Schizosaccharomyces pombe: one gene and its partner. Changing the gene in region 1 together with any one later gene gives a genetic interaction. Each region holds a gene or a part of one and is shown in the gene's direction. Other genes may lie near its edges.

Evidence for each region.
Region 2: of cdk9 (region 1) and brl2, changing one enhances a phenotype caused by changing the other (phenotypic enhancement), as found in Schizosaccharomyces pombe (2 studies listed by BioGRID).

The regions. Positions count from the first base shown.
Region 1 is NC_003423.3:1,468,568-1,473,682, forward strand, and holds cdk9 (P-TEFb-associated cyclin-dependent protein kinase Cdk9), read left to right. Parts: upstream 1-2,000; 5' UTR 2,001-2,112; coding exon 2,113-2,255; exon of another isoform or gene 2,256-2,306; coding exon 2,307-2,388; exon of another isoform or gene 2,389-2,508; coding exon 2,509-4,059; 3' UTR 4,060-4,615; downstream 4,616-5,115. Other genes in the region: wdr8 (WD repeat-containing protein), read left to right, coding at 1-320, 393-468, 508-1,520; DNA-binding forkhead transcription factor, meiotic Mei4, read left to right, coding at 4,627-5,115. UniProt on the Schizosaccharomyces pombe protein: Component of the positive transcription elongation factor b (P-TEFb) which consists of cdk9 and pch1, and which phosphorylates the C-terminal domain (CTD) of RNA polymerase II and spt5.
Region 2 is NC_003421.2:487,968-493,667, forward strand, and holds brl2 (histone H2B-K119 ubiquitin ligase complex (HULC) subunit, ubiquitin-protein ligase E3 Brl2), read left to right. Parts: upstream 1-1,813; 5' UTR 1,814-2,100; coding exon 2,101-2,190; exon of another isoform or gene 2,191-2,254; coding exon 2,255-4,207; 3' UTR 4,208-4,402; coding exon of another isoform or gene 4,403-4,817; 3' UTR 4,818-4,864; coding exon of another isoform or gene 4,865-5,095; 3' UTR 5,096-5,140; downstream 5,141-5,700. Other genes in the region: wtf antidote-like meiotic drive suppressor Wtf9, read left to right, coding at 1-79, 125-316, 357-419, 470-552; sec8 (exocyst complex subunit Exo4), read right to left, coding at 4,403-4,817, 4,865-5,095, 5,141-5,582, 5,633-5,700. UniProt on the Schizosaccharomyces pombe protein: E3 ubiquitin-protein ligase which belongs to the histone H2B ubiquitin ligase complex (HULC) which mediates monoubiquitination of histone H2B to form H2BK123ub1.

The DNA.
Region 1 (5,115 bases):
CAAGTGTTTCACATTGTGGTAATTGGATTGCGTCTTTATCTCGCTCTGGGCATGTCTTAATTCGAAATTCTGAAACCCTCGAGCTTCACCATGTGTTCCTTCTAAACGCTCAATTCATTCAAAAGGTTGTATACTTGTTATGGAAACCCAATTTAGGAGCAGAAAAATGCCATCAAATTTGTGTTGCCTCAGTTGATAAAGTGTTTGTATTAGATATTGTACAACACGATTATTATGCTAGCATACAGTGCGACCAGGATCCTTTGAGTAGTATCAGCTGGAGCCCGTCTGGAGAACTGCTTCTCTGGTCGTCCTTTGATGTACGTTGTATCTAATAAAATTTGCACAACTTTTTGCTTATATATCTGCGATGCTAATAGCAAATTTTTTAGTCGAAGATTACTGTGTGGTCTTTAAATACCCAGAAAGGTTATTTGCTTCCACATGTAAAAACCAATGTTTCGAAAGGTATTTCTTGTCTGATATATCAATTTACTGACTGTTTAGTTTACGCTTTACATCCATCCATGCAATTCTGTACTATATTATCTCGTTTTAACGGTTCGGATTGCCTTCAATTTTACCAAATCAGCAAAAAGGCATGGATACTTCTTAAAGAGTGTAAGCTTCCTACAATAGATTCGACGGGTATCCATTGGTCGCCAGATGGAAACTGGTTAGCTGTTTTGGAAAACGTATTAGATGCAGTTGTTTATATTTATCATCGCACCGGTCTTCTTTTTCACGAATATCGACCAAATAGGTTAATTGAAGTCGGCTTTTCCGATTTTGAGTGGAGTCCCTTTGGCAAATATCTAACTTTGTGCAGTTACCATGATTCAACCTTACATCTACTTGAAACAAAAACTTTTAGTATAGTTTTTCGACTTCACCATTGTTTGCAATATACCAATACTGACTTGGAAATGCATATATGGGAAGAGAAGGAAACAATCTATGAGCAACAAATGACTTATCAAAAAGTACATAAACTCAGAACCGATTTCCCAGAACCCTCCTTTTGTTCAGCATCAAAAATACGTTTCAACTGTGATGAGACGTATGCTGCTACAATTACTTCTAAATATCCTAATGTTCTTTGGCTATGGAATTTACAGAATAAAAAACTGCACACTGTTCTTATTCAAAAACATCATATAGTGTATTTTGAATGGCATCCAGGTCGTCCCGATTTGGTGGTCATTCAAACAAAAATTAGGAAAGAATCCAAAATTCCGTCTAATGCTACATTCCTATACTTCTGGGCTTTAAGTTGGAATACACCCAGGGTCGTTGGAGTTCCAAAAAAAGGTTTTAATATTCAGAAGGTTCAATGGCTTCAACCATCAGAATTCAGTTCTCGTCCAGTTATAGTAATTTGTGGTGAAGATGCATATACCGTTGCTTACATTGTGGAAGATGAAGATGAATCATTTACCGAAGTTACTCAAACTATAATTTCTCAAGAAGTTTTAGATAATGAGTTAGAAACAACGCAAACGATTTCCATACCATCTTAAGGGATTTACTTTCTATCTTAAAAGTCTTAATTATTGTAACCATTTTTAAATATTCTTTTTATTTTACTAACGACCTAATTAATTCGCTTAATGTCTATAATATTTTAATGCACGTTCATTGTTCCCGCATGTAAAACATGAGCACCCTGAGCACCCCGTCAGCTTAAGGCCTTTGCATACCTCTTATAGTTTGAATGTCTTTTTCAGTCTATTCAACTATCTTTTTCTAAATTTAGTACGTACTATTCCTGAGTTTTAATAACTACTCTTTCCTGATTCATAAATTGTAAACTTTGCGCATTTATTTGAGATTAGGGAGTCCTTTGAAAGATATTTAAAACTAATGCAACTTTTTCCCTTTATAAAAAGCATTGTTTATTCTCTATACTTACAGTATTGTTTTCTCATTTTGAAACATAGCGCATTTTACTTCGCCTCCGTATTTAATGCATATAGTTGATAGTTGGGTCCACTTCCACTATATCCTCATCAGATGCAACATTTCGCGCATCGATCGGGTTTATACTACAATTTGTATAATTAACTTTATTCACTAATCGTTGGGATCTTTTGTATAATATAAGTTAAAAAAATGAAACGCTCAAGCAGCGTTTCTGTCGAAGATGAGAAATCAGCAAGGAGAAAATTAGATGTCGTACCCAAACTTCATTTTGTAGGGTGCAGCCATTTAACGGATTATCATTTAATGGAAAAATTAGGAGAAGGAACATTTGGGTATGTGTCAAATATCTGATTTTGAATTTTATCACTAACTTGGTTCACCAGCGAAGTTTACAAATCGCAGCGGCGTAAGGACGGGAAGGTATATGCGCTGAAAAGAATACTCATGCATACTGAAAAGGAAGGTGTAAGTAGATGTTTGTTTAGATTCTTGTTCATTTTGACAGAATGACTTGGGACGCATCGACTTGATTGCGTTAATTGTTTTAATTAATTCATGAATAAATACTAAAGCATTACATTTTAGTTTCCCATTACAGCCATTCGCGAAATAAAAATTTTAAAATCGATTAAACACGAGAATATTATTCCATTATCTGATATGACTGTTGTTCGTGCAGACAAGAAGCATCGACGTCGTGGTTCTATATATATGGTGACTCCTTATATGGATCATGACCTTTCAGGTTTATTAGAAAATCCAAGTGTAAAATTCACGGAGCCGCAAATTAAATGCTATATGAAGCAATTGTTTGCTGGAACCAAATACTTACATGATCAGCTTATCCTTCATAGAGATCTTAAAGCTGCTAATTTATTGATTGATAATCACGGGATTTTAAAAATTGCCGATTTTGGTCTCGCACGTGTGATAACGGAGGAGTCATATGCAAACAAAAATCCTGGCTTGCCTCCACCTAATCGTAGAGAATACACTGGATGTGTGGTTACACGCTGGTATAGATCACCAGAACTTTTGCTTGGCGAGCGTCGTTACACTACCGCTATTGATATGTGGAGCGTGGGATGCATCATGGCCGAAATGTATAAAGGAAGGCCAATCCTTCAAGGAAGTAGTGATTTGGACCAATTGGATAAAATCTTTCGCCTTTGTGGATCACCAACTCAAGCTACTATGCCAAATTGGGAAAAGCTTCCTGGGTGCGAAGGCGTTCGCTCTTTTCCTTCACACCCTAGAACACTTGAAACTGCATTTTTTACTTTCGGAAAGGAAATGACTTCTCTTTGCGGTGCTATTTTGACCCTTAATCCGGATGAACGTTTATCTGCTTCAATGGCTTTAGAGCATGAATATTTTACAACACCACCATATCCAGCAAACCCTTCTGAACTACAGAGCTACAGTGCTTCTCATGAGTACGACAAAAGAAGGAAAAGAGAACAGAGAGATGCTAATTCACATGCGTTTGAACAAACCGCTAATGGTAAGAGACAGTTCCGGTTCATGACTCGTGGACCTAGCGATCCGTGGTATGGAATTCGTCGGCCAAATTATAACTCACAACCGCAATACCAACGTGGTTCGTACAATCGTGAAGGCGGTAACATGGATAGAAGTCGTAATGTTAATTATCAGCCTAAGCGTCAGCAAAATTTTAAACCTTTAACGTCTGATTTGCCACAGAAAAATTCCGAATTTTCTGAAACTAACGCTATGAATCAAACTTCTAATCATTCTCATGCAGACGGTCAACGCTACTACCGGCCTGAACAAGACCGATCTCAACGATTAAGAAACCCCTCGGATTACGGCCGTCAAGGAAGACAATCTTCCCAGTCTCAACAACCAGCATGGAATGTGTCCTCCAGATACCAGAATAATAGCAAAGTACAAACGACATCTCGAGCAAGCGAAAATGCGGATACCAACAAAACACAACACAATATTAAGTACATTGACTCATATGTTCCTGAATACTCAATTGCTAGACAATCTGCCAACCAAAAGACCAACGAGCAACATCCATCTTCTACTAGCTTGCACCAACAATCCACATCTGATCTGAAGTCACCCTCTTTTCATGAAAATTCCAACGTTGATGACACTCCTAAATGATCCATACGAATGTGCTCTTTTTACTTTTTGGCTTTCTCTTCATATCTTAAATTAACTTAATTTGCTGAGCATCCCATAATATTTTTAATGGCCTTTCCGCGTGATGGCGACTGTTCATTAAAGGCCAAAGTTGGTTTTCTAGCTCAAAATAAAATTTAAAACAAAAAGGAAAAAGCAAAGAAAATTAATTATATTTCTTTTTTCTTTAAAAGCTTGACCTTAGCAAATTGAGCACGGAGATTTTTATTTGTATTATTTATTTACTAAATTTATAATCTTAAAACATGACTTGTAAGTAATGTATTGGAAAGAAAATTACTTTATTTTCAACAAAACTGCTTTTTTCCTTGCTTGTGTTTACATATTTACGGTATTTTCTTCCCTTCCCATACCCATGTTTTGACCTCGGTTAAATACCTCTTGTTTGTATACGGCTTGACCAGCCCTCTCCCACCTACCTACTACAAAACCCGTCATCCAAAAACAGAGTCAAAATAACACAAATACCATTAATAATTACCTAATAAATATAATAATCAGTACTCTAAAAATTATTAAATTGTTCAAATGGTTGAAAATCAAGGGAATGTCGAAGCACATGGTAAACCCAAAAAGGTCATACTTAGCCTTTCATTAAAGGAATCTTCAAAAATTAATGATTCTCAAAATGTTTCCAATGTGTCTTCTAAAGAAAAATGCGAAACTGAAGCATTGCTTCGTGAAGAGAATAAAGAAAACCTGAGTAGTGACAGTATACGACAAATGATATTTGGAGATGAAATGGCGGGCTTTGTGGATACTGGTGAAAAACCACCGTGTTCTTATGCTACATTAATCGGTTTGGCGATCCTACAATCACATAACAAGCAACTGACTTTAAGCGGGATTTATACGTGGATTCGCAACACGTTTCGCTACTACCTCAACCATGATGGTGGTTGGCAAAATAGCATTAGGCACAACCTTTCATTAAACAAAGCCTTTATCAAAGTAGAAAAACCCAAGGGTAAAACTTTAAAAGGTCATTATTGGACAATTGATCCTGACCATATGCAG
Region 2 (5,700 bases), on another chromosome or scaffold:
GGTAATTTGAACTTAGACAAGGCTCTCATCTGTTCTACATGCAGTATTTCAGCTGCTTTACTTTTATTTTTACTATATGGTATGTGAAGTTATGGAGTTACCATTACTGACCGCTAACACGCAGTTCGTCTTCCATTTTGGACACTCAAGCATATGTTTTCTGGTTTGTTTCAAGTACTGGGTGTACAAAGTTGTGTCGTTATTGTACAGAAAGGTTTGATGCATTTATTTGATAAACATATCGACGGGACAGGCTACGAAATTGAAGCCTCTTCACTCTTTGTTATAGGAAATTTTCTTTTCTTTTACGAAATGGGTTTGTTTAATATTCCTGTAATTTACTCTAACCGTATCAGAATGTCCAGGTGCTCTCAAAAGGATGCCCAAATTTATCAGGAATGGTATAGCTTCTTTCCTAGGTATGTGTATTCAACCAACTGTATGAATGATTTTTTACTTACCCGACTAGGAGGTATAGCAAATGCGATTGGAGGTGCCAACGATAATAATGACATTCCCTTGGAAGAAACGGAGGCCGAAAGCGAAGTCTAATTGCTTTATTAATGTAGTTGTCGCTACAGTTGGAAAACCTCTTTACCAAAATCACCAATGCAGAGAAGCTGCGGCGTTTTTTAAAAAATTAGCACCAACTTTCTTTAATCATCCTCTTTCACTATAAGTTTATGGAATATATGCTTAACTTATTCTTTCAATTACCAAAGATTTTCAACCAATGCATTCTACGATGTTGGATAATGTGCATTGAGGACCGAAGTCTTTATTTATAATGTATGCGAGTCTAATTATTTGTCTTTTTTAATGGTACTCTACGCTACAAACAATAATGGTTTAACTTGTTTACGACAACTTTAAATCAACTAATGAAATCGGAAAACTCGTTGTTCCACCTTGTTAAATTCACAATTTCATTGTCGTTGTTACATTCATTTCTCCTTCATCTTGATTCTTAATTTAATCAAGCTTAATAATCATTTTTCCCTTCTGTTTAATGGTTCAATTCAAACAAAATTTAATGTTTACAAAATAATGAGCAGCATAATAGAATATTGTGGTTTAGAACGATGGTTTGTTATCGTAATTACGTGTAAGCTACGCAGTTTGGTATCTGATTTAAGGATACGTAGAACTGCGGTGAGTTTTCCTTGTGATCTATTATATTACAATACACAGGTTGTATAAGTAGCAACTGAGTATAGGTATTGTATTAACTGGGTTATAATGTTACCTATCACTAGTATAGCTCATAACTGAACCTCGTTCCTCAGTTCAGTGGTAGCTCTATTTATAGTATTCAGATAATATAGATCTGAATAGATTATCATTAAGATTAATCTCCATATCGTATCATACATGGTACGATATATAATTAGAACATGTGACATATAGTGATACGCAACGTAGTGTATCACTATATGTCATATGTTGAAATACTAGTTAAGATCCGCTTGTTGATAATCACAGGTAACTATTCGTCTATGTACATAAATACCCGTTGATAACAGCCATTTATAAATAGCGTTACAACTGAACCTCGTTCCTCAGTTCAGTTATGAGCTATACTAGTGATAGGTAACATTATAACCCAGTTAATACAATACCTATACTCAGTTGCTACTTATACAACCTGTGTGTTGCAATATAATAGATCACAAGGAAAACTCACCGCAATTTTACATTTCGTTAAAGTGGATACCAGATGGATAGTTAACTCGAATTTCTTCAAATACGACAATTTTTCACTAAAGTAGTTTAGTGACTGAGTAAATAGATCGTAAACTCGTGTCTGCCCTCTACCACTTCACTTTTACCCATTTTATTGTATTGAATGGCAATTAACTTAATTCGCTTCGAATTGCATATTTTCAATACGGCAAGTTTCAACTAAGAAGGAGAATTTGAAATAGATCTGTAAAGACGCGTATCTATAACTTGCTTATTCATTACGCGTTATTACGTTTAGTATAAGAAAAATACAGTCTGTCTTTTAGGTTTTGGCTGTTTTCTTTTTTCGTTAAAAAACAAATTGTTCTGAAAAAAAGGAAATTTATATTGATAGGTTGATGTATACGACTTTCGAGAATGTATCAGAATGGTAAACCAGATGCCCCCACAATCTTAGGCCAGAAAAGAGAACTTGAAGATGTAGAAATACAAGATGATGATATTCAGGTATGTTAACGTGTTGAGCCTTTAGGCATTCGAATGTTAAGACATGTCGCTAACTCTGTTAAAGGAAGTCTCTAAAGAAGACTTATTAAAGGATGTAAGAGTGAGGAGCATTCAATTTGATGAGTTAGAAAGTAAAATAGAGGGACTTCAAAATTTAGCAGAAGAGAAATTAAAAGTTTTAGCTACTTTGGTCTCTTGGTGGCCTGAAATACTTCAGCAGTTTAGCGTTGTGTTTCAAGGCAATGAGCTGAAGGACTTCGAGAGTGAAGGTGTTTTTTCGATTTTGGAGAAATTCCCGGAGCTTTCATACTTCAATGACGCTGTGAAAAATAATAAAACTAAAGCCTTGAGCATCATTCAAAAACTCTTGTCTACTGTTGACTCAAGCACAAATTCGGTCTCCAGAGATCCTTTTTCAGTTTTATCAATTGATGACTCTGCCCTTACTGAGAAATTAAACACCATTAATTTGGATATTGACAAGATTTTAGATGAATTGGATACCACTCGGTCTCAGCTTCATTCAATTATAAAACTACCAGATCGCTCGTCTAGTTTTACTTTGCAATGCATTAATGAATCAGTGAGACCCCAGTCTACTAAAGTGAAAGAGGAAGCAACCACCTCCTCTAAGGGGAAAGATGAAGAAAAGAAAGTTAGCACGGTTGAACAACGTACTCAACTGCAACAATTATCCAGGCTTCAAGACCAACAAAATGGTTTAATGGAGTCTCGCTCACAAAGCCTTAAAATTTTGGATTCGAACGTTAATGAAATGGATAAATTAATTATGGAACGAGAAAACGCATTAAACAACGTCGAAACTACAAACTTGAAAAAATACTCTTCCTTTTTAGCACTTAAAGAAGCTGTTTCTATGACATCTGAGCAGTTACGCGTATTAGAGCACTTATTGTCCGAATGTTCTCACGAAATAAATGTATTGTCGCAACAGTCAAAGAATTTTAACGGTGTTTTTGAATCTTCCTATCAGCCGTTAATAAACGATCTTGATCATCAAATATCTGTTATGCAAAACGATGAAAAAAGAATTAATAACGCAAAGACTGAATTAAGCTTATCCCTTGAAAAGAAGTTGGAAGCTAAAAAGCAAAAAGAGAAGGTCTACAAAGACAAGTTAGATGAACTTGCGAATTTAGAGACAATGGTATTGGAAAAGAAAAAAGCGGTGGCTACCCGTGAAGCTGCAAACAAAATCCGGCTCGTAGACCTTAACGATTTGGAGTTACAAAAAGATCTGTCAACTTACCTTTCTAAAGAGTTGGCTTCTACTGAAAAAGCATTTAGGTTGGTAAAACAGCAAACTGTGAAAAGTAGCCACTCCCATTATCAAGAATTGATAACCAAATTTAGTGTCGAAAAGGAAAAGGCGGAGCAAAAATATTTTCTGACCATGAAGTCTACAGATAGTCTTCATGCTGAAGTAAAGTTACTGCGCCAGAAGTACCAGAAGACCAACGAAATTATCTCAAAAATGTTAAATAGCCAAGACACTGCTGTCCATAGAATAATAGAGTTTGAAGATCAGCTAGCCCGTCTATCATCGGTTCGAAATAACTCTATAAAACAATCAACAACGTTTCAAGTCAAAAAGTCATCTCAAAAATCAACTATTCAAAACCTGGAAGAAAAGGTGTCTTATTTACAGCAATTTATGGATAAAAATAATGCTACATTAACAGACCTTGAATTTCAATGCTCAGATTTATCATCTTCTATAGATATACTTTCCAAGCAAGATGAAGAGCATGAAAAAGAGAAGCGAAAGTTAAAGGATACTGGGGTATCAACGTCAGCTGAAGAGTTAAAAACTTTTAGGGCCATGTGTAAGTGTTCAGTTTGTAACTTCGAGCGCTGGAAAGATCGAATTATTTCTCTCTGTGGTCATGGCTTTTGTTACCAATGCATACAAAAACGGATTGAAACACGGCAACGCAGATGCCCGATTTGCGGTCGTGGATTTGGTGCTTCTGATGTTATTCCGATACATCTTTGAAGAATATGTTTTATTTGTGTAAATTATGTCTTTCAGGAAAACGCTGTATATATAACAAATCATTTTCCTTAATATAATCTTTGAAACTAGGTCACGTAGTTTTTAAACTATCCAATGCATCTATGTTTTTAGTTAATAAATTTATTATTATAAAATCATTACTCGTCATTATAATTAAAATTCTATATTATACGGTTAAGGATTTTTTCTCGCACCACCCACAGTGTTGTCGAACTGAGTTAAAACCGAGCCAATCTTTTTCTGATACTGCCGATAAAGATCGTCCCTTCCGTTTCTTTTTGCATCTTTCATTAATCGCTGGTAATAAATTCGGACCATCTGTTTAACGTCAGGCAAAAGTTCCTTTTTGGGGGCAGCAATGAAGTGCTCGATAATTTTCTTGGCACCATTTTGGTATATTCCAAAGACTCTAGAAGATTTAGGAAATTCAACGTCGCCATGAATTTCCTTAACCGTCTTAAGAATCTGAATCATTGCTGACATATTTTTCAGCATCTGAAGACAGCTGCCTCTATTCATTGATTCTATTTTGTAAAAGATAGAGTATAGCGATGAATCAACCAGTTCACTCAGACCTTGGAATACAAACCTATAAAAAGTTAGCAAATCAATATAAGGAATTCATTTGTTATTTACCTTCGTTCCCATTCATTCAAACAGGTTTCGAGTTTCAAATTCGTCGTCACAATAGTAGAGTTGAGAGCCATTATCGAAGCATCTGGTCTTCCGCGGTACTCGACAACATAGTCAGGAAGGTTTACACTTTGATTAATACTATGAATGTACTGTAACCGAACTTCCATTCGGATTAGCAGTAAAGCATCGAATTGGAGCCTCTGTAAAGAATCAAAGACTTCTTTATATGCACTTTTATAAAAATCAGTATAAAGTTCAATACATACAGTAACATACCCCTTCATTAAATCCGAATTATTACCCAACAAATTATCAATTGGTAAAAAGTCACCACCGAAATTAGCTTGGTTTTGTTGCAAAACGTTCATTCTTCGCGAACCGTTCATAAATCTTGAAAAACAGCGCTGAAGAAACCATTCCATGGAGTTATGAAGATAAGAAACCGAGTTCACTAGGTCGGAATCTTTGGATAAAACCGATACCGGAAGTTTAACTTCGGACGTAATCGCACGATCTTCATATTGTAATAAACGCTTATTCTCCATTCGACAAAGCTCATTTAACCCTTCAAGTGATGGATTTTTTTGCTTGAGGAATTTAATAAATTGAGGGTACGTTACATCGTCGTGAAGTAGCTTTACTCGAACAGTATCATCGACATCTTCAGTATCCTCGTTGACATGTTTGTATTCTTTGAGAACAGCCGTTCTGCACAAATCTATAAAGGGTAAGCTGGGGAAACAGTGAAAAAATGGAAATGAAACATACCAGAGAGATAATCAGAACAATGGTTGCGAAAACGAACAAGCAAAGTATGTAATAATTCATAAAATTCT